Linked DNA regions of Styela clava. The protein of the gene in region 3 purifies or fractionates together with the protein of the main gene of each other region. This does not show direct contact. Links are inferred from orthologs where the notes say so. Each region holds a gene or a part of one and is shown on either strand. Other genes may lie near its edges.

Region 1 (7,527 bases), about 4.7 Mb from region 3:
CATTCTGCTTATAAGTTGAAACGGTCCAATTGGAAAAACAATAGGACTACATAGACTTGTATATAATATTGCATTGTTGTTTGGAGACTAAGATCTGATTCTTGAAGACTAATTAGATAATGAAGTAATCAGGGGCGCAGCCAGGATTTTTCCCACTGGGGGTTACGGTGAAATTAAAACATTACACCAAAAGTGCTATTCACGAAGACGTACTAATGCGTTTAATAAACTAAAATGCATGGTCGTTCACAGCGATATTCCACAGCTACGTGTAGCCCGCCTCTCTTTGCCTGACGGCGTTTGGTGAATATTTTGCAAGTCCTATTTCAAACATCGACCATTAATCCGTAGTCACCGGGTACCAGCATTTAGAAATAAAACAATAAAAATCGCGAAAATTAATTTTAGAGAGAACTATAACTTGCTGATGTCAGTAGCGTGATGATGGTTTATACGTACAAAAAACACGCTCGCATGTAGCGCCGAGCAAATGCATGAAATGTGAAACTATTACTTGGAATTTATTGTTAATCGAGTTGATTTTTTATTATCATTCAATGATTATTAACATGCGCCGTGATTAGTGGCGGGTAAAATCGTATTTTTTAATAGAGTTATTCGAATATTTTCAACGAACACCGAATAATAGGTATTGTTATTTTAAACATTAATTTGGATGTCGACTGCCGAAACAACCTCTGTGACAATAAATAAATTTTTTTTTCGGATTTTACTAGAAGACTGAAAACTCCGTAACAATGCAGGGCTTTTTATTTCATAGTTTTGTAATAATCGAAAGCTGCGAAGAATCAAATTTTTTGTCTCCACTATTGTTTCGGCGGCTGACATTCCAATTAATGTTGTTAAGTTATATTAAAGCACTTTTTTATTCAAGTATTAATTCTCATGCAACGGCGGATATCGTAGTTTGGTTTTTATATTTCGGACAGAATTGCGAGTTCACATCGGCGGAGATGTTAGAGACAAATATTAGGGAGTGCATTCACAACACAAATCAATTTTATTCTCATTTTTATCTTCTGTGTAGGAGTTGTATCACGGTCCCAATTTTAAACGAACAATATTATCATTACTGACCCCGGGAGGCGATATTTGTGAAGCGGATAGTTGACATTTTTATGCTTTTAATTTTAGATTGCGTTCGTGTTACTTTCGTATTGAATAATAACTAATAGCTCTGCAAATTGGTAATCTCTTGAATACTCAGTGTTGAGTATTTACGTAACTCAGCTTTGGGTTAAATCACTGATACTAAACACATGAATAAATCGGCAATAATGGAATTTCTACATGGTCAAAATGATATATATTTCTTCCCAATATCTCGAGAAATTTTCATAAAATACATTATTTACCTGTCCTACTTATCTGGTTCGACATTTCTAAATTCACAAAAACGGTGTTCACACGCTTTATGCAAAATTAGGAATTGAAAAATATGACGCAAAGAGGCAAGGAAAATTTTTTTTCACATTTATCGTTTCTACCAGTTAGCGATAGCCATCGGTAAATTCTTACCCGTAACTCGTTGTAAATTATTGTTAATAAATTCTATTTTGCTTTTTAATGCGCTGTGCTTTGTATTAAAATAAAAGTGATTTAGTTGGGAAGAGAAAGTCCTTAAATTAGCTTATGACCCTTCTCTTCTTTTAAGCGCCCATAACGGCGGTTAAATTGTTTCATGTCTGTTTCATGGAGAGAAGGGAAAATATGCCTTCCGGATTTGCAATCAACAATTACAAATTCCTAATTATTCTTATCAGCGCTAACTAAAAAAGATAACATGTCTTGTAGACGGAATAAGTCTGTAGATGTTAATTGCATTATGGTGATAACGCGCAGAATAATATCGCTTGGACCGCGAAACCATGACGAGCGATCGTAAAACTAAGCCTTTGCTTTTTTGTAGATGAAATTCACATCAAATTTTTTCTCAAACAGAGAGGGTTACACCCATGTAAAACCGCTGGCTGCGCCCCTGGAAATAATAATTATATACACATTTAGAAATCGATCAACTTTAAGGAATAAGTAGATCTATACAATATAGTTGACATGAAATTTTCTGAGATTAACACTGAATAGTTGAGGTAGCCAATGATGAGAAATTCTGACAGCTTGTCCTATTACTTTTATTCCATTGCTGCTGCTTGTTATATCCTGGATGCACTTAACATTATTGCTAATACTTTTAGGTTTTGGAGCTGCTCCTGCTTTTGGATCTTCTGCTACATTTGGTTCTCCTCCAGCTTTTGGTTCTACCTCTGGTGGAAGCACATTTGGAGGTGGATTCGGTTCACAGCCTGCTTCAACTGGTGGAGCTTTTGGACAAACTGCCAGTGGTGGTTTTTCATCGTAAGTAAAGGGCATTGAAGATGATTCTCTAGTCTCTACTACCAGTCAAATTTGTGAAGCACAGTTCTTATATGTGGCAGTGCTCAATACATATTATATTACAGATGATAAATGACACTTAATTCCCTTTTGGCCATACAGATCCATGAATGGCAAAAACTAAATAAACTATTATGACCAATTTTTCACCAGTCCATGAAGATAACTTCTACAATGGTTAATAACTTGTAAGCTAGTTTTGTCATATTGTGTTTTTTTTACAAATACTCAAACTCTTTTTTTAGCTTTGCCAGTAGTGAAACACCTGGTTTTGGTAATCTTGCGAATCAATCTGGAGGATTTGGAAGTCCACAGCAACAGCAGCCAAGTAGCTTTGGTGGGTTTGGATCGAACACACAGTAAGATGGATTTATAATTATGCAGTCTGTAAGGAATAAAATAATAAATAGAAACTCTATCAGTGCATTGCACACACATAAAAGTTTGCCATAAGTCTTGTTCCCCCAGTGTTTTTTTTTTTTGTAATCTATCGTGGACAAAAATTGCACAACTACAGTATGGAAAATGTTTAATGACCACTTGCAAAGGATACTTACGTTTCTAAAGAAATTTTTTTATTAAAATCAGTATTTGCTACCTAATAGTGATGTGTTTTTTCACAGCTTCACCTATAAATTTTTTTGTTTGAAATGGTTGATAACGACCATGCCATGACTGTAAAGAAGTCTTAAAGACAGTATTTGTGGGGCTGTGTATAAACAATCATGTTTCTTCATTTCAGAAAAAGCCCTTCTTTTAGTGGCTGGAGATAAATGATCTATGGAAAGGTGTACATTTTTGTCCTTGATGCTGAATCATGCCTTGTTAATAATGTCACTGGATCTAAAGTCGTTTTTCACAACGCATGCTACTATTGCTCCTGAACCTGATTGCTACTTTATGGATATGATGATAAAATAATGAAAAACAGTTAATTTATTAGTATAATGTTCATTTGTAAATGTGATAATTTGTTTCATTAAGAACAATAACTTAATATTGTTGGCTGAATTAAGATCCAAATAAATATCATCGGAAAATGACTGGAACGATGTGCAACTTAAAGTTAGTCATCCAGGAATAGTAACTCAACAAAACAAATTATGTACAAAAATTCACAATATAAATATAGTCTAACACTTAGACATATGAATAATTTTAGGAAAATGAGTATATTATAACTCTAGTCGTAATCTCAAGCAATACACGATTTGAATGTTGAAGTATGGTCAGCACTGGTCACATTTAGTTGGGTTGGCATATCGTCCTAATTGTTAGAATTATGCTACAGCACCCCAGATTACACTCCTTGGGTTCGAATCCTGTGGGGGATAATTATGTGCGAGAGGATTGCTGAACTCCTTACCGCCGAAGGGTGGTTCACGTAACCACTGATAGGCTATGGCTCCATTCACCATCAAGCCACTACATCTGAAACAAGTAACTGGCTAAATGATTCTATACCGACATGGACGAGAGGCTGTATCACACCATATGTTTAAGTCGTGTTATCTTCTCTACTCGGCGTGAATGTGTAAATCTTATATTTGGTGCTGTGTGGCATAACTTAAGAATTTTCATGAAATGTTTTTTGATTTGACGGGCAGTAAGGTCTCAACCCCCAGTGGAATGACTGGTATCGGAGTTTAAATACAAATTACCACCAGATGTATTATATTGTGTGGACACTATTTGTCTGATGAGACACAAGAATTGATAGACATTTTATTAGGTCTTCAATGCTTATAATTGTTACATCGCGAGACACTTGTATGTATTTGAAATGAGCATTGATGAGATTACAAATCCGGCTTGATGATTGGCTTATTAACTTGGGTGTTATGAACACTATTGCGCCCGCTTGTGTAATAGTCTCGTCCCCAATGAGGAAATAAGTATTTGGGGCAGCTCAATTATATGGAGATTGGATAATCACTGCCTCTCTGTTGCTATTTAACTTGTTCTTGCTACTTCGAGGAGTCCTCTTATCTTCTTGAACAAATTATGAATAAAGGTTGTGAAACCCCTCTAAAACAGCTTATGACTGAAATCGTCATGGCGGTAGGACCCGCTTTTCATTAATTCTATCAACTATACTTTGTTGCACGATAGTATATTTTATTTATCTGTGCTTTCATGTATTTACAATAATTAGTTTTTACTTATTACCTAATACTACTACACTGGGCTATACACGCTATAAGAGTCCCTGACCTGAACTGGTAACCGGACGAGAGGCCGTGGTTCGCCATATGATTAAGCCGTCTTATCGGCTTTCCTCTCCCCCGGAATAAACATGTAAATCCTATCCTCTTCCGGAATATATGCGATTCTAATTTTAACAGATGGGAACCGATATATCCGTGTAGGAAAATTTTTCAATAAATTGTTTGGTACTCGCGTGCGTTTATGTCGGGCCTGGCTGTTCTGCATTTCTGGGTTTCTGTGTATCGTCTTGCGTTTTAGTTCGTGTGGTCGTTTCGAAATGGCTGGAGTGCTATTCGAAGATATTTTTGATGTGAAAGATGTTGACCCCGAGGGAAAAAAATTTGATCGTGTTTCTCGACTTCACTGTGACAGTGAATCTTTCAAAATGGACTTGATTTTGGATGTAAACACACAGGTGGGTCTTGATTTACAGTAAGGAATGCCTGGATGCAGGACTGTGGCTGAAATAACTAAAATCGGCTTGTGTCTGTAGCAGTCTAGTCATAGCAGCTCTTTTAAACAGCATTCGTAGCTAATTTGCTTTTTCGCTATGAAATTATTAAATACATTAATATGGTCTGGTACGGTACCGTATAGTTTAGTACCACATGCACTTCTAGTTGGCCTGGCTTAACAATTTTTGCATATGTCGATCCTAACCCTCACCTGACTACGTCACAGTGGCGTAATAAGGCCCACCAAAGTATGCGGATGGTCGCCCAAAACGCGCAGACAATCACCCGAAATCGAGCAAGCTATTTCTCTCGTTTTCTTGTCACAACGATCACGATAGGAGAGAGATCGTACTTTAGCGAGTTCGTTATCGGATTTTTCAACTTATGATACTTCAAGGCGAGAGGCCAAAAACATTTGGGCGAGTTCGAGTCGTTAATTTTCAGAGTGCTCGAGTAAATTATTGACTCATTTATTTCCAACACTCGACTTAAAAAAATTTCGAACTACACAAAAATGCATGTCTGTAATCTCAGAATCTTCACAAGATTTAAATGTTCAGGTTTATCCAATGGAACTTGGAGATAAGTTTCGACTTGTTCTTGCAACAACTTTACATGAAGATGGGGCACCAGATGATGGAGAATTCAACCCATTGTGGGATCAGCAACCCACCCGTGCAGATCAGTTTGAATATGTCATGTATGGAAAGGTAAACTTTCTTAATTATTTTTCAGGTTCCCATGCGGGTAAATGATACTTATATTGTTGTGTAGTACTGTTAACAATGATGATTAGTGGATCATTTGTTTTTGTTGTGACATATGTAGAACATCATTCTATTGGAAAAATATGAATCACCATGCAAGCACTGCTGGTGGTTGGATATTCAATTAGCGTTTGTACACGTACACATATAATAGTATTTTAGCTATAGACGCCGTAAACTCAACCATCACTTTGTGTTTCACAAAATTACCTACCAATCCTTTGTGTTTGTAGAATGCAAGGGTGCTGTAGCAAAATTAAAAGATGACTATTCTATTTGATTCAAGAGTTTTGCTGCACACTACACATAGGATTAGTGTTAGTGTGCAGCAAGACTCTTCGAATCAGACAGCTGTGTTTAGTTGGGAATTTATGCTGCTTACTGATTAAATTGATTCAGTAAATTCAACGATATTTCATCCTTAAAAATAATGTTATGAAGATTAGTTTCTAATCAAACATGGTATTATTCATATGTGTTTTTAATTCTTTAATATATATTAAATCCCAATAAATTTTTAGGCATACAGGATAGAGGGGGATGACACTGGCAGCGAAGTTGCATCCAGACTTTCGGCTTATGTGTCATTCGGTGGCCTTCTTATGAGACTGCAAGGAGATGCAAACAATTTACACGGCATGACTGTTGATCAGAATGTTTATTTATTAATAAAGAAATTGGCATTCTGATCAAGACTGTAGCGAGCGATTCGTTGGTAATTCAAGGACAAAGAACTATCATCTTGACTGGCGATACATAGTTACAACAGTCAGGACTGATGAAGCTGCTTTGTTTTCTCAAGATGTAACATCAAGAACAAATCGATCAGTTTTGTGTAAAGGTTACTAAACAGCAGCTCCCCTATTTCCAAGTGGAGAAAAAAACTTGCGACGGTTTAACTATCTCAATTTTATTCTGAAGCAAAGTAGGAAATAATAATATTTAACTTCTGGCTTTGGGTATTGCGTTTGCACAGCAGCACATACATAATACTATAGGCAGTACTCGCAGCTTGGTCTCATCATCCTGATACTTTCTTGGCCTCCTAATGTTTCTAGCCAATGAGCAATTCGTCAACAGTAAAAAATCAGCATGCTTTCTTCTCTCTGCCATCAGCCACATAGACATCTTTATGAATTGTGCGATTAGCTCTGTTGCTCAAATAGGAATTCCAGAACAATGCGACTATTTGGCAGAAGAGCATTCTGAACAAATAATTAATATATCATTATTCATTATGCTCAATTCCCTTATTTTGCTACAAATTTTATATGCTTAATTTACTGGAGCGGCTATGAACTGTCGCACAGCCGCTCCAGTAAATTAACTCTGCCAGAAATCTTAAACGCTGCAGCTTTCAAAAAATATTCATTACTGAGTACTGACTAAACCCACCTGTATTGAAAAGGCACGATTCCAAAATTGATCGTTTGTGATGGAATCCAAACCTAAATTTAAGTAAAAAAAGTTGCAGAATAAAGAATTATTTGTTGAGTTTTTGGATCTCTGAAGGCTAAAATTTCACAATAATATCTGTCAGGATGTTGTAAGATCCTAAGATAATATTTCTAGGTAAAACCTACCATCCAGTTCATTTTGATAATTCCTGGAACTTCATTTTTAATTCTACTGATTGCAGTCGACAAAGATTTCCCATTAAGTAAAGTTTGAACAGTGAAGAA
Region 2 (8,019 bases), on a different chromosome or scaffold from region 3:
TATAAAACTTCACTAAATTTGCCAATAACAATAGCGTAGCATACCGACGGCAAGACTCGCATTCACATTCAAATAAGAAAGGAATACTTAAATAAATGAAATGAGTGCGGTTAATCTAATCTTTTGCAGTAGTCTACTGGTTTTTTTGGACACGTAGTGAACATAGCGATCGTTTCAATATTATGTTGTTGTTGTTCTAGTGTCCTTGTTCTTTGACACGTTTTGAAGAAATCGCTTTTCTCTTCGAATACTGGACCAATTGTTTTGAAATTTTCAGTGGTTGAAGATAAAATTTTTCTCCAGAAGGCTATTACTTTTTTTTCGCTATGACGTCATCAAAATTATTCCCACTGGGTGGCGCTACCTGCCCATATATTTGAGCATAGCTCTATTGTCTTTTTATGATCCGACAAAACAACAGTATTGAAATATAGTATACCAACCTTATTGCATTTTTTAAATATTATCATGATATAAATTCGAATGATTCAATAAAAAATAACATAATTTTATCATTATTTTTCAGAATACATGAATGAAGTGCATCTTAGAATACTATATGCTTTCTTGTCTTACGTTAGATAATTTATTATGGTTTATGATATTTTATGAGAATTATTTCCATGAACATTAAAAAAGATTTACCGTAATTTGCTTTGTCAAATCTTATTTATGGTCAAATAGATTTGTGTAGTTAATGTTTCTGCTTTGTCATCTAATGAATTTCTTCAAAAGTTATCAAATAGTGATATTTTGCGTATTGAATGAAGGTAACTATATGATGTGATCAATGCAGCTCTTGCAAAAATAAAATAAAAAAAAGTGCCCATCTCGGGTTTAGGTTGACTTCTAATCCCAACAACAATAACAAATTAGGCAAGCTTTTTCAGTCACAACGTTTCCATTGATATTTCTGAATTTGTGCGCGAACTCCGAGAACAGTCTTGCACATACAACATGGGCTACCCTGGCCGCCGACTCCCAGCACCCGATTCTGCAAAAAGATAAATCTTGAAAACAAGACTGTCACTAATGTAACACGATGTCATATAAAGCGCGGATGTCATGAGATCACAGAGAATGATAATGCTTTTTTTCTGGTTGACGAATAATAACTTTCTATCTCTGATACCACAAATGCTTGATTTGCTTCTCGAAACTGTCGTCCCTTCTTCACAAAAGTTGAAATACCGTATTCCTATTCTAGTACGATTAGAATTATTTCGGTACTGGCAAATAAATTAGAGCCAATTTGCCAAGAATACTGTGGTATCTGGGTATGGGCCTGAAAACAAAATAGCCAGATACCGTACGGAAAATGAGATAACAATACCTGGATATGGTGAACGTACATTTGAACCCACACATTTGCACCCGTATATCCGTGGGTTCAATCTATATGACGGTGCTAAAATCTATGGGTTAGGGTTAGTATGGGTTCAAATATCCGTAAAAAAAAAATTCCATAAGTGCAATTGTCGTGGGTTAAAATGTAATGGAACCCCTGAATATGATTATTACTCTGTCAGTAACTTACGGTACTGTGTCAGTTCACAGTCTGTGACATAAATACCGCATTTAAACGAAGGTAGCTTGATTTTAGAGTGCTAAGCTAACCACAAATAACTTGAAAATACGCGTAGTTTGTCGCAACAAACAAACGTTCGGCTTAAATATTTGGTCGCAAAGGGAAAGCTGAGAAGTCCATACCTCGTTACTCATGTGGAACCTATGACGTCACACAGAGTGGCATCTTTATGTTGACCCTCAATAATGAGATCGCCCAGATATTAATTGGTTTATTGGACCAGATATCGCCCAGATATTAATTGGTTTATTGGACCAGGGTTGCCATATGAAATACAATATTTAGTGTGTAACAACTGAACAATAGCCTATTACCTGTACTTAGCTACTTAACATTAGGATTTCCTGGAGCATCGATTTCCTTGTTTGTTACATTAACTCTTAACCATACCCAATAAGAAATAAGTGCAGTTTCTGCAGCTGCTCAGACAGATGTTCAAGCAGGGTTGTAAACATTGCCTCGTTTTTATAGTTTTGCGTGTTATTTGTCAGTTTACGTTCTGTTACCAAAATATAGTTGTATAACTCAATTTTCATTATGCCTGATATGGTTTATGTGAGCTTTCAGATTTAGTTTAATATTGCAATTGCAGTAACGATGTGATTAACTACGCTAAAATTACTGAATTAGATATCAGTGGTCCACCTGTGAGCGGCAGGGGGTTAGATAATTTTTTAATAAAATTGATGGTTTATAAATTTTAAAAGTGAAAAATTTTTCAATAGTAAAGTACGATATAGGGAGAATTTTTCGAGATGTGGCACAAGTTTAAGTAGAAACATATTGTAGGTATATTACATACTGACAGACTGAAGCTTGAAGCTGCACCCTGTATTGTATATATTGAATGGTAAAATAATGCTGCCCGCTTGATATTTATTTTACCTTCTACAGTTCTATAGGATCTTTACTTTCTATTTGTGTGCCTCACTGAATAAACTGGTGGCTCTACATCATCATCAGTACGTTGCCAAGGGCTTAAAATCTGACAAACCATGGGGCTTTTGTACTTAGTAAAATTGTTGTCTTTTTTATGTCTTGATTTGGCTTTTTTGATCGCTGGGGTCTGGCAATCCTGTATTGGACACGTCAGTGGACATAACGATCGTTTCAATATTATGCTGTTGTTCTTGATATTCGTCATGATTTTCATTAAGAAAATGCTTTTCTCTTCGATTACGAAATCAATTGCTTCGAAATTTTCAGTTTTATAGATTGATTTTTTTGCCATGAGGCTATTACAACGTTATAAATTTTGTATGAAATCTGATATTTCGTCCAAAATTCCGCTGTATTATTTCATCCATGGAAACACTGGCTGTCCGGTTTTATTCTGTAAATTTTTGCTACGCGAAACTAGGAACTTTTTTGAGGGTAGCGTCAAAGGTGAGGTTGCTTCGCTCTGGTTATCGTGTTTATATAGCCTATTTGCTCGTGTTCATAAATTCGAGAGCGTTGCTCTCTTGTTTATTATACAAACGAATGTTCCTGATCGGAATTTAATTCTTTATACAGTACGGCACACTATCCCGAATCCGGATTTGCGTCTACATTCCGGAAGAGCCAAAATATGAATAGGCGTCTGTGAAACCGGGGGCGTCGAGTCGTCTGCGAGCTCGATGCGTGAGAACGTCAGATGTCTGGATATGACGTCAAAGAAAGTCACGCACAGATCGGCAGTTCGGCACGGCTCTCGAATTTTGCTAATTTGATTTTCGTTTTTTACCGATGTATACTGACCTATATGGTTAGATATACGATGTATTTCTGAATCATTATATTCAGTCTACTGTTGGTAGTGCCTAATTAAAATAATGTCGCGTAAATGCAAACGTCTGTGAATAAAATAATGCGTTTCGATTAATACGTCTACGAGTCCAACTAATTTTATTATAAGTGTTTGTGACTACATGACATCGTTTGAATTGTCGTATAACGAAGTCAAAACGATGCACGATATCGAAGTTTTTTTTTTTCAATAGTTAAATTAATATCGATAGTGAAACTTTGTATGCCCGTTAATACCTGTAATCACAACAATTTAACATAGCATCTTCGTTTATTTAGAACTGAAACTTCCAGAACGCACAACGATTACGAATTACGATATCATTTAATAATTATATTCGAGATTTTTATTTAAATTTGAGCGTCAACAATCTATAGTAAAATAAAAGCCTCGATGATTAATTGGATTAAACTATTTTGCCAATTTGATTCTTGTTTTTCACAGACTACGCAAGTTGATCATTTGCGGCATACGAATGCATCAATGCGGCATTATATTAATTTGATTCTTGTTTTTCACCTATCTATTCTTGCATAAATCACGCAAATTAACATTTGCGGTATATGATTGCCTCGACGTGGCATTGAATTAAAATATTCTCGTATTCCGTATACTTCGAAGTTAAACATTCGCGACATATGAATGTATCGATGCCGCATTATATTAGTTTGAATCTTGTTTTTCATCAATCTATACTAGTATAAATTACGCAAATTGAACATTTGCGGCATATGAATACATCGATGCGGCATGATATTACATTATTTTGCTAATTTGATTCTTGTTTCTTGCCGATCTATTATTGTGTAAATTACGCAAGTTGATCATTTGCGGCATATGAATTAAATTATTTTCGTATAGATTAACATTTGTGGCATATGAATGCCTCGATGTGGCATTGAATTAAATTATTCTCGTATACCGGTACCGTAACTTTCGAAGTTAAACATTTGCGGCATATGAATGTATCGATGGTACATTATATTATTTTGAATCTTATTTTTTACCGATCTATACTAGTATAAATTACGCAAGTTGATCATTTGCGGCATATGAATTAAATTATTTTCGTATAGATTAACATTTGTGGCATATGAATGCCTCGATGTGGCATTGAATTAAATTATTCTCGTATACTGTAACTTTCGAAGTTAAACATTCGCGACATATGAATGTATCGATGGGACATTATATTATTTTGAATCTTGTTTTTTACCCACCTATATTAGTATAAATTATGCAAACTGAACATTTGCGGCATATGAATACATCGATGTGGCATTATATTAAGTTATTTTGCTAATTTGATTCTCGTTTTTCGCCGATTACGCAAGTTGCACATTTTGCGGCATGTGAATGTCTCGTTGCGGCATTAGATTAAATTATTGCTTTATGAACTAATTCATCTAATGCTATATCGAGGCATTAATTTTACTGTTTATCGATTGTGTGTTATCAAAATGTAATTTTTATTATCGCTGATCCATTTATTATCGTTAACACGCCATCCTATCTACATTGAAAATGAGAGAAACACGGCACGCCAAGGTTTACGTCGAGGAACGGCCGATGCGTGCCTGCGTGCGTCGATTGAAATTCAGTGACGTCACACGCCGTCAATCGTTTTTTGCTCATTTCTCTCGAACGCACCGGTAAAATTTTTTTTACATCGGTAGATCTGATTATTTTTTCACGAGGAATTCAATGGTGATGGTTTTAGATTGCGCTTTTTGTTAGTTTACTGCGCAGCTTCAATTTATCGATATCGGGAGACAAAATCCGCCAGACGTCCATCGAAGGAGGGATATTCGATCACCGTTAAAATAGGTTTCTCTAAAACGAGAGATTGTCTCTCGATCTGTAAAGTGTGTAAATTATTTATTTCAGAACCCTACTTCCGAAAACAGGACAGGAAAGCATGTATTTAACAGTACGGTACCGGTACCGGTAGTCTATTGTTTGCCGAATTACAGCCCAACTTAGATTTTGTTTAATTTATTATACGTTCCCCAGATAGGAATTATTTTAAATTTGGATATTTTTTGCATTTCAACACTAGAATTCTGCCCTGGAAAAATAATAGAGGAAGTACCGGTATGTTTTAAGTTTGTGTAAACAACGACGAATCTGGTACAGTACCGGTACCTGTAGGCTTCTAATCATGCGTGGTTATGGCGTTGGCTTTGTGGTGTAATTGAAGGTAGCCATGTCAGCTTTGGAGTTCGACATATTGCTGATTGGATGTAGAATAAGCAGCGTATGATAGATTAGTTAGACTATGTATGATGTTATTTAAATCTGTACCAGTAGATCCTAAACAGGAAATAAAAATGTACCTACGGTACTGTACCGGTACGGTACCTTGTACCGGTACCTAGCTGTTACCGGACGAGAGGCCGTGGTTCGCCATATGGTTAAGCTGTCTTATTGACTTTCCTCTCCCCCTGGATAAATATGTAGGCTAAATCCTATCCTAAAGGTTTAGAAATGGCTTCGGGTGGGAGTTCTACGTCTTCAAGTGAAAAGAATGCCGCAAAAGCTACGACAGTAATTGTATTGGGAATGGCGGGTTCTGGAAAAACAACTTTTGTTCAGGTTAGTAGTTACGGTACTTTACCGGTAGCGTACAGTAGTACCGTAACTCGTTGGTGATACGGCTGGTCAGTTACCGGGACGGCTTTCTCCACCATCAAGTTGCAAGTCCACGCATCTCAAAACAAATTTTCCGCCAACTGATGCCATATCTAACATGGACTACTGGACGATCTGACCATAGACGGTGGTTCACTATACACAGATACAGCCATATGATTAAGCTGCCTTCACTCCCTCACACAGGGTGATCAGAGGTGCGGTGACAAGCATATTACCAACGCTTACTGGCTTAGCATGATGCGCCGCACTGCCACTGCGCTAAGTAACTATAATAACTTATAAACGTCAACCATGGGGTTTCCACATTTACTGATTTAGGGCAATTCGCATCACTTTCTATAAGTTGTGAGTTATTCTTTTTTGAACATTTGATGCAATTCAGGTGTTATGGAGCACTTCCTTATGAGGGAGCCATTTTTCATGAAAGTATATCAAAATCATGCCATATCGTGTTTAAATTTATTTATTTTGTTTCAGAGATTGACTGCTCATTTACATGCAATAAAAAGTCCACCATATGTTGTGAATCTTGATCCTGCTGTTCACTCAGTTCCTTTTCCAACAAACATTGATATACGAGATACTGTTAAATATAAAGAAGTGATGAAACAATATGGGCTTGGACCAAATGGTGGTATAATGACTGCTTTGAATCTATTCACAACTAAATTCGATCAGGTGATTGCAATTTATCTTACATTCAATGTGAAAGTAGCAAACTGGAAATTTCTCGTTTTTCCGTGGAACTCCTACATCTTAGTAGATTCTTGCATAAAAAATGGATAGGTGAATAGGATATAAAGTTCAACGACTTTAGAGACATATACTCAATTGATGTGAGCTTTCCTCATTTTGACATCCATAAACTTTCAGGTCATGACATTCATTGAAAAACGAGCCTCTGAATGTGAATATGTTATATTTGATACACCTGGTCAGATTGAAGTCTTCACATGGTCAGCATCTGGTGCAATCATAACTGAAACATTGGTATGTTAGTATATTTCTATTCTATTTTTCATTTCAAAATCATTATCCTTTTTTCGACAACAAACACTAATTTAGTGTCTCTGCAATATATTCATTTTTTAGGCTTCAACTTTTCCTACAGTTGTTGTTTATGTGATGGACACTGCACGAAGTACAAATCCAGTTACTTTTATGTCTAATATGTTATATGCCTGTAGTATATTATATAAAACAAAACTGCCATTCATTGTTGTGATGAACAAGGTGAGCTTCTTTTTATCAGAGCATAAAATTATTTCTTTACTTCGACTTGTTATTGTAGCCTCTAGGCTCGATCTTGTCAACATAGCACTCTGTACTATGGATATTCCATAAATGGTATTTTTGAATCTGATTCATCTTCTGATCCTCTTGAAATAGGCTTAGAGAAAGTGAGTGTACTAGCGAATTGCATAGATATATATTTCTAAATTCTAAAACTGTGACATCAACTTATCACTTTTTTGAAGACTTAGGCATAATTCAACATGGTTTATCCAATTTTATCTACTCTCGTAGTGTGTGTAGGCTTAGGGTTAGGCCATAATTTTATTCTGGTTCTCCTTATTTTAGTTCTATTACGAGTTTGGGGACTGTCCGGGTTAGCCAAGTAAATATACTATACCCACAGGTTTCAGTTCTTTTTCACAACTTGATGTAAAATAGGCAAACAAAATTAGTGAACCTTCATATGGGTACACACACTTCTGGGCGCCCACTTGAGCTCTGTTAAATTTTATTTACCCTGAGTGGGGCTATGAATGGATTTGTGAACCAAACTAAAACAGCTCATCTATATATTGCAGACAGACATAGTTGATCATAGCTTTGCTGTTGAGTGGACACAAGATTTTGAAGCATTTCAAGAAGCATTGAATTCTGAACAAAATTATATCGGAAACTTAACAAGATCTATGAGCTTGGTTCTTGATGAATTCTACAATAATTTAAAGGTTTGTTTAATCAGTTTTACATTATT
Region 3 (7,432 bases):
TACACAAATTCAGGACGAGGGTCTACATATTTATCAATCTGGATTCGGAAGCTTAAACAAAAGTTTTTTTTTCACTTTTCGATCCAAATTTGAATGTTGATTGTGAATTTTCTCGCCCAGCCCTGTTAATATTCATGAAATAAAATATTAAAAATGAGATCTTTTAAACTTATCTTTTTTGCAACATCACAAGTAAAAAACAGATACAACTTTACAAAACTAAACCAATATGAAACATGTCTAACCTTGCAATGATAATTCCAATCAATAACAGGCACATGAGCAAGTAAAGTTGTTGCCAGCCAGTCTCTTGCTTCATCGTTTCGTGATCGTCTCGGTGCTCCCCACATGCCACGATTTCTACGGATTTTTTGACCAATATAACGAGTCGCTTGAAGTTGAGTAAAAACTTCGAGTCTGTGACATTCTTCGATGGAGGATGCAAATAGAGACATGATGGACTCATCGGTCCCTGGGATAAAGGTAATGTAAACAACAACTATGGGACCTCTTGAAGTATATGCACCAAGGTGGCACACAACCTGAAATCAGGTTGTGTACCAGGTTAGGGTTCAGGTTATGCAACATCTTGGTGCACATACTTCAGGAGTACCCAACTCTGATTATATTTACTTATATAAGTACAAAAAAGTGATGCTGAAAAACATGGACACAAAGGCAAGAACGAAGTAGTACAGGTCAATACCACAGTCTTCACGACTATTGAGAACCCAAAACCGCAACAAAGTGCACAATTTTTGATGACGTCATCGCACACGAAAAACAAATCCCATAGAGCCCACAGAAATTTTTAAAATAAGAAAAGTAATAACCTTCTACCAAAAAATACAATCTTGAACCACTGAAAAATTCAAAGCAATTATTGAGAAAAGCAATTTTTTCATAATTATATGAAAAAAAATACCAACAGGAACAACAACAACATAATAACGAAACAATATACACATACACTTCGTGTCCAAGAATATATGATTTTAATATTTAACCAGGAGAGAAAAGGGCTCAGATTGAGATGAATTAGTCGCAAGGCGAAGCAAAGACTTTCCTTCGATTACCAGTCCAGGTTGCATATGGGATTATTCAATCAAGTAATTGCGCAATATGCATAGTCCATAGTTTAACATCCATGAATTAATTGAAATCAGCATATTTTTCAAGATTTGTAAAAATATGTAAAAAGCTCAATTAACAAGCATTTCTGCAACTAAAGTCTTAATAAAATTTTTGTGAGAATTGGTGGATAAAGATCTTGGAATGTTTCAGTTCATACTTTTTCGTTACACATTTACAAAGTTTGAAAATATAATGTCGACCATTCCGACTCATTCGTGACTCCACAGTAAAATTTTGGACCTAGTGCCTTACCTATGAGTTGCATTATAGCTTGGTCACTTTCAACACCCATTGCTTTAAAAATAATACAAACAGGAGTGTCTTCTGTCAGTGCATTCTGTTGTAAATAAAATTTTCCCTTCTTTTGCAAAATTGTCGCTCGAGTCTTTTTCTCGTGAGTGGAACTGTGCACGGAACAACTCACCAAACCCTTTCGATCTTTCTCACAAATCATTCGGTTTTTGGACAGTTGTTCTTGAATCAATATGACCTAAAATTCAAAATTTTATTATGAAATTTACCGCTTCCTAATTTTATACATTGCATATATAAATAGGCTATAATGCCAGGTAGCCTATTCATGAAGCCATATTGCAATTTCAATATTTTTTTATGAAGTCAGTTCTCAATATATAACCAGGTTTGTTTTATTTTAATCAGAGTTTTTACTTCACTCGATACACCTTTATCTCGTAAAGTAGCCTAACCTTAGTCTAGTAATTGTGAAGCAATTATATTCAGCCATCATTTCATTTTTAATTTACCTTTTCAACCCCTTTGCAAACAAAATAACCGCCTGGATCATACGGACATTCATTTAGCTTTGCAAACTCAACAGGATTTTTTCCAGCTAAAACACAATTTGAACTTTGTAACATGATTGGCATCCTTCCAATGGGGAGGTGTTTTCGAATAATTCTCTGCTGCCCTCTTGTGTATTCAACATCAACAGTTATCGGAGCAGAGTAGGTAAGATCTCGAAGCCTGCACTCGTGTGGTGAAATAGGACGAGTGACATTGAAACTTTCTTCCACGTCAGGTTTTCCAACGTGAATATCGAGATATTTTAAATACCAATTTGGATCAGCATCACTTAGCACTTTGTCATTTGCCTGTAAAATAAAACATTCACAAATGAGCAATTCTTAAATGAGCCAAAATCAATATTGCAACATTTAGAAAGTCGAATAAACTTAACCTATTTGTTTTTGTTAAATTGTGTTGAATGATAAAAATAATAGATAGATTCAGATATTTTATCCCGTCATGCAAGAATCAATTGAAAGCAAAAGTAAAACATAGTGAACTAAAAATAAATAGAAAACATTGATTCACAGCAATTGACGCAGGGTCGCGAAAGACTCAATGAGTCATCCAGTCAGCGAAATGAAAAAAAAAATAATTTCAACATTTTTACATGAGAACTTTATATATTTAACCCTAAACTGGAGATAAGACCGTAAGTTTCAACAAATATATTCTAAATAAGATTGAACTGAAATGGATAGGATAGGATTTACATATTTATCCAGGGGGAGAGGAAAGCCGATAAGACGGCTTATCCATATGGCGAACCACGGCCTCTCGTCCGGTTACCATTTCAAGTCGGGTATGGGATTAGTTATATATATATATATATATTGTTTGTTTTCGGAGGCATGGACAATCCTCTCGCACATAACCATCACTGCATGGGATTCGAACCTGCGAACCCACGCAGAGTAATTAGAGGTGCGGTAGCGAGCGTATTCCTAACGCTTAGCCCGTTGAGCCACACCGCCGCGTAGAAAATCAATAATAGATTTCACCAACCTGCATTATTTTCTTGATCTCCACGTTAATAAAATAATTAAATGAATCGATGTGTTGCTTCACCAAGCCTTTCACTTTGAGAAATGCCGGTAATATTTTCCATTTGTCTTTCACATCTGAAAGCGGCTTATTTAAATCCGCATATTCGTCGTCTTCATTATCAACCTCTTTCTTCATATTCTGGCCTTTGTTATATATGGAACAGAAAATACAAAAGCTACCGTGTGCTATCGCCACTGTCATATAAGCAAAATGCTAGCAAAATCCCGCAGCAAAATATACGATGTCATAAAAACGTGTTTCCACTTTGCGAAATATTTTTAATTATTAACCACAGAGATGTAGAATTGCAAATTGAACGTTATTATGTAGCATTCAATCACACGAAGCATTTGGGATCAAGGGAGAAGTACAAAAAACTACATTTATCAAAATAAAATAACGTATTATTGAGGAAAAAATGAAAAGTTTGTTAAATTGACACTAAATTTGAACAAGATCTGCCTTTGGGTCTCAAAAAATATTTTGGGTATGGATTTACAACTCAGACATCTTTCCAATCAAAAAAAGAATTTGACAAAAAAATTGATCAGTTTTCTAACAGAATAATTTCAATACAACGCAACAACGTAAATTTCCTGAAAATTCGAAAAATCGTTAAATTGACCCAAAATATGAACAAGATCTGCCTTTAGGACTCTAAAAAAATTTTGGGTATGGATTTATAGCTCAGACATCTTTCCAATCTAATAAAGAAATTCGAAAAAAAAAGATCAGTTCTCTAACAAAATACTTTTAATACAACGCAATAACGTCAATTTCTTTAAAATCCGAAATATCGTTAAATTGACCCAGAATTTGAACAAGATCTGCCTTTGGGGCTCAAAAAATATTATGAGTATGAATATCTGAATTCATCATCTTTCCAATGACATAAAGAAATTGAAAAAAACTCGATCAAAATACCGCAATAACGTAAATTTCTGAGAAATTCGAAAAATCGTTAAATTGACCCAAAATTTGAACAAGATCTGCCTTTGGGGCTTAAAAAATATTTTGAGTATGGATATTTGAATTCATCATCTTTCCAATGAAATAAAGAAATTGAAAAAAACTCGATCAGTTTTCTAACAAAATACTTTTAATATAGCGCAATACCGTAAATTTCTTAGAAATTCGAAAAATCGTTAAATTGACCCAAAATTTGAACAAGATCTGCCTTTGGGGCTCAAAAAATATTTTGAGTAGGGATATTTGAATTCATCATCTTTCCAATAGAATAAAGAAATTGGTAAAAAACTCCATCAGTTTTCTAACAAAATACTTTCAATATAGCGAAATAACGTAAATTTCTTAGAAATTCGAAAAATCGTTAAATTGACCCCAAATTTGAACAAGAAATGCCTTTGGGGCTTAAAAAATATTTTGAGTATGGATATTTGAATTCATCATCTTTCCAATGAAATAAAGAAATTGAAAAAAACTCGATCAGTTTTCTAACAAAATACTTTTAATATAGCGCAATACCGTAAATTTCTTAGAAATTCGAAAAATCGTTAAATTGACCCAAAATTTGAACAAGATCTGCCTTTGGGGCTTAAAAAATATTTTGAGTATGGATATTTGAATTCATCATCTTTCCAATAGAATAAAGAAATTGGTAAAAACTCCATCAGTTTTCTAACAAAATACTTTCAATATAGCGAAATAACGTAAATTTCTTAGAAATTCGAAAAATCGTTAAATTGACCCCAAATTTGAACAAGAAATGCCTTTGGGGCTTAAAAAATATTTTGAGTATGGATATTTGAATTCATCATCTTTCCAATAGAATAAAGAAATTGGAAAAAAACTCTATCAGTTTTCTAACAAAATACTTTTAATATAGCGCAATAACGTAAATTTCTTAGAAATTCGAAAAATCGTTAAATTGACCCAAAATTTGAACAAGATCTGCCTTTGGGGCTTAAAAAATATTTTGAGTATGGATATTTGAATTCATCATCTTTTCAATGAAATAAAGAAATTGGAAAAAAACTCGATCAGTTTTCTAACAAAATACTTTTAATATAGCGCAATACCGTAAATTTCTTAGAAATTCGAAAAATCGTGAAATTGACCCAAAATTTGAACAAGATCTGCCTTTGGGGCTTAAAAAATATTTTGAGTATGCATATTTGAATTCATCATCTTTCCAATGGAATAAAGGATTTGAAAAAAAATTCGATCAGTTTTCTAACAAAATGCTTTTAATATAGCGCAATAACGTAAATTTCTTAGAAATTCGAAAAATCGTTAAATTGACCCAAAATTTGAACGAGATCTGCCTTTGGGGCTTAAAAAATATTTTGAGTATGGATATTTGAATTCATCATCTTTCCAATGGAATAAAGAAATTGGAAAAAAACTCGATCAGTTTTCTAACAAAATACTTTTAATATAGCGCAATAACGTAAATTTCTTAGAAATTCGAAAAATTGTTAAATTGACCCAAAATTTGAACAAGATCTGCCTTTGGGGCTTAAAAAATATTTTGAGTATGCATATTTGAATTCATCATCTTTCCAATGGAATAAAGAAATTGGAAAAAAACTCGATCAGTTTTCTAACAAAATACTTTTAATATAGCGCAATACCGTAAATTTCTTAGAAATTCGAAAAATCGTGAAATTGACCCAAAATTTGAACAAGATCTGCCTTTGGGGCTTAAAAAATATTTTGAGTATGCATATTTGAATTCATCATCTTTCCAATGGAATAAAGGATTTGAAAAAAAATTCGATCAGTTTTCTAACAAAATGCTTTTAATATAGCGCAATAACGTAAATTTCTTAGAAATTCGAAAAATCGTTAAATTGACCCAAAATTTGAACGAGATCTGCCTTTGGGGCTTAAAAAATATTTTGAGTATGGATATTTGAATTCATCATCTTTCCAATGGAATAAAGAAATTGGAAAAAAACTCGATCAGTTTTCTAACAAAATACTTTTAATATAGCGCAATAACGTAAATTTCTTAGAAATTCGAAAAATTGTTAAATTGACCCAAAATTTGAACAAGATCTGCCTTTGGGGCTTAAAAAATATTTTGAGTATGCATATTTGAATTCATCATCTTTCCAATGGAATAAAGAAATTGGAAAAAAACTCGATCAGTTTTCTAACAAAATACTTTTAATATAGCGCAATAACGTAAATTTTTTAGAAATTCGAAAAATCGTTAAATTGACCCAAAATTTGAACAAGATCTGCCTTTGGGGCTTAAAAAATATTTTGAGTATGGATATTTGAATTCATCATCTTTCCAATGGAATAAAGAAATTGGAAAAAAACTCGATCAGTTTTCTAGCAAAATACTTTTAATATAACGCAATAACGTAAATTTCTTAGAAATTCGAAAAATCGTGAAATTGACCCAAAATTTGAACAAGATCTGCCTTTGGGGCTTAAAAAATATTTTGAGTATGCATATTTGAATTCATCATCTTTCCAATGGAATAAAGGATTTGGAAAAAAATTCGATCAGTTTTCTAACAAAATGCTTTTAATATAGCGCAATAACGTAAATTTCTTAGAAATTCGAAAAATCGTTAAATTGACCCAAAATTTGAACAAGATCTGCCTTTGGGGCTTAAAAAATATTTTGAGTATGGATATTTGAATTCATCATCTTTCCAATGGAATAAAGAAATTGGAAAAAAACTCGATCAGTTTTCTAACAAAATACTTTTAATATAGCGCAATAACGTAAATTTCTTAGAAATTCGAAAAATCGTTAAATTGACCCAAGATTTGCCTTTGGGGCTCAAAATCAGAATAGTGTTGTTATTGAGAGACATGCATGCCATGGTATAAATCGACCCATCACCGATACTCACCTACATAGTATATATTAGCTGAAAGTAGTCTATAAGAGAAATTCTACGCAAATCCATGAGCTTTTATGTTTGTCCGGGAGAAACTCTAATCACTGTTCTTTTTATCAGCTTGGTTACTTGCAACCCCACATGTATAGGAACAATCTCTCCATTATGTTTGATTGCGTTGAAATAATATGTTTATATACTGGATAATGTCTTCGCTTTTTCATGGTTAAATTATATTTAAAATTTAAATAGTCACAGATAATTTACAATTCGATTTACTTTCATTTCAGGTGAGACAAAACAAGAATTTTGCAGCATTGCATTATAAGCTGAACTGGTGATTTTATTTTCGCAAAATGGCTGCGCACAAAAATTGTTACGTTGTTCCGGTATACATGCAACATGAACGAAAAAGAAGTACAAATCATTGATTAGTAGAGATGAACAGTATCCGAAGAAATAACCCATGTGCTTTCGTAACAGTGAAATAGTTGCGGCGTTCCACTTCACGGCCATTTACATTCGAATCCGAATTGAAAAAAGAAATGACTCCGACTCTAGACTCGGGTTTGCAAACAATTTTGACCCCGACTACAGCTCCGAACTCTAGAAAAATCCGA

Evidence for each region.
Region 1: the proteins of DNA-directed RNA polymerase III subunit RPC2-like (region 3) and DNA-directed RNA polymerases I, II, and III subunit RPABC3-like purify together in Homo sapiens (affinity purification with mass spectrometry; 5 studies listed by BioGRID and IntAct, with this or other methods). This does not show direct contact. The link is inferred for Styela clava from reciprocal best matches to the Homo sapiens genes POLR3B and POLR2H.
Region 2: the proteins of DNA-directed RNA polymerase III subunit RPC2-like (region 3) and GPN-loop GTPase 1-like purify together in Homo sapiens (affinity purification with mass spectrometry; 4 studies listed by BioGRID and IntAct, with this or other methods). This does not show direct contact. The link is inferred for Styela clava from reciprocal best matches to the Homo sapiens genes POLR3B and GPN1.

Annotation. Positions count from the first base shown.
Region 1 is NC_135255.1:11,092,867-11,100,393, forward strand, and holds DNA-directed RNA polymerases I, II, and III subunit RPABC3-like, read left to right. Parts: upstream 1-4,797; 5' UTR 4,798-4,900; coding exon 4,901-5,038; intron 5,039-5,638; coding exon 5,639-5,788; intron 5,789-6,366; coding exon 6,367-6,534; 3' UTR 6,535-6,798; downstream 6,799-7,527. Other genes in the region: nuclear pore complex protein Nup214-like, read left to right, coding at 2,217-2,376, 2,661-2,774, 3,158-3,188; mitochondrial inner membrane protein Mpv17-like, read right to left, coding at 6,933-7,050, 7,241-7,293, 7,429-7,527. UniProt on the Homo sapiens protein: DNA-dependent RNA polymerase catalyzes the transcription of DNA into RNA using the four ribonucleoside triphosphates as substrates.
Region 2 is NC_135251.1:19,540,002-19,548,020, reverse strand, and holds the start of GPN-loop GTPase 1-like, read left to right. Parts: upstream 1-4,790; 5' UTR 4,791-5,864; coding exon 5,865-5,972; intron 5,973-6,509; coding exon 6,510-6,710; intron 6,711-6,905; coding exon 6,906-7,022; intron 7,023-7,124; coding exon 7,125-7,265; intron 7,266-7,846; coding exon 7,847-7,993; intron 7,994-8,019. UniProt on the Homo sapiens protein: Small GTPase required for proper nuclear import of RNA polymerase II (RNAPII). May act at an RNAP assembly step prior to nuclear import.
Region 3 is NC_135255.1:15,753,887-15,761,318, reverse strand, and holds the start of DNA-directed RNA polymerase III subunit RPC2-like, read right to left. Parts: upstream 3,179-7,432; 5' UTR 3,124-3,178; coding exon 2,947-3,123; intron 2,247-2,946; coding exon 1,899-2,246; intron 1,625-1,898; coding exon 1,387-1,624; intron 473-1,386; coding exon 246-472; intron 1-245. UniProt on the Homo sapiens protein: Catalytic core component of RNA polymerase III (Pol III), a DNA-dependent RNA polymerase which synthesizes small non-coding RNAs using the four ribonucleoside triphosphates as substrates.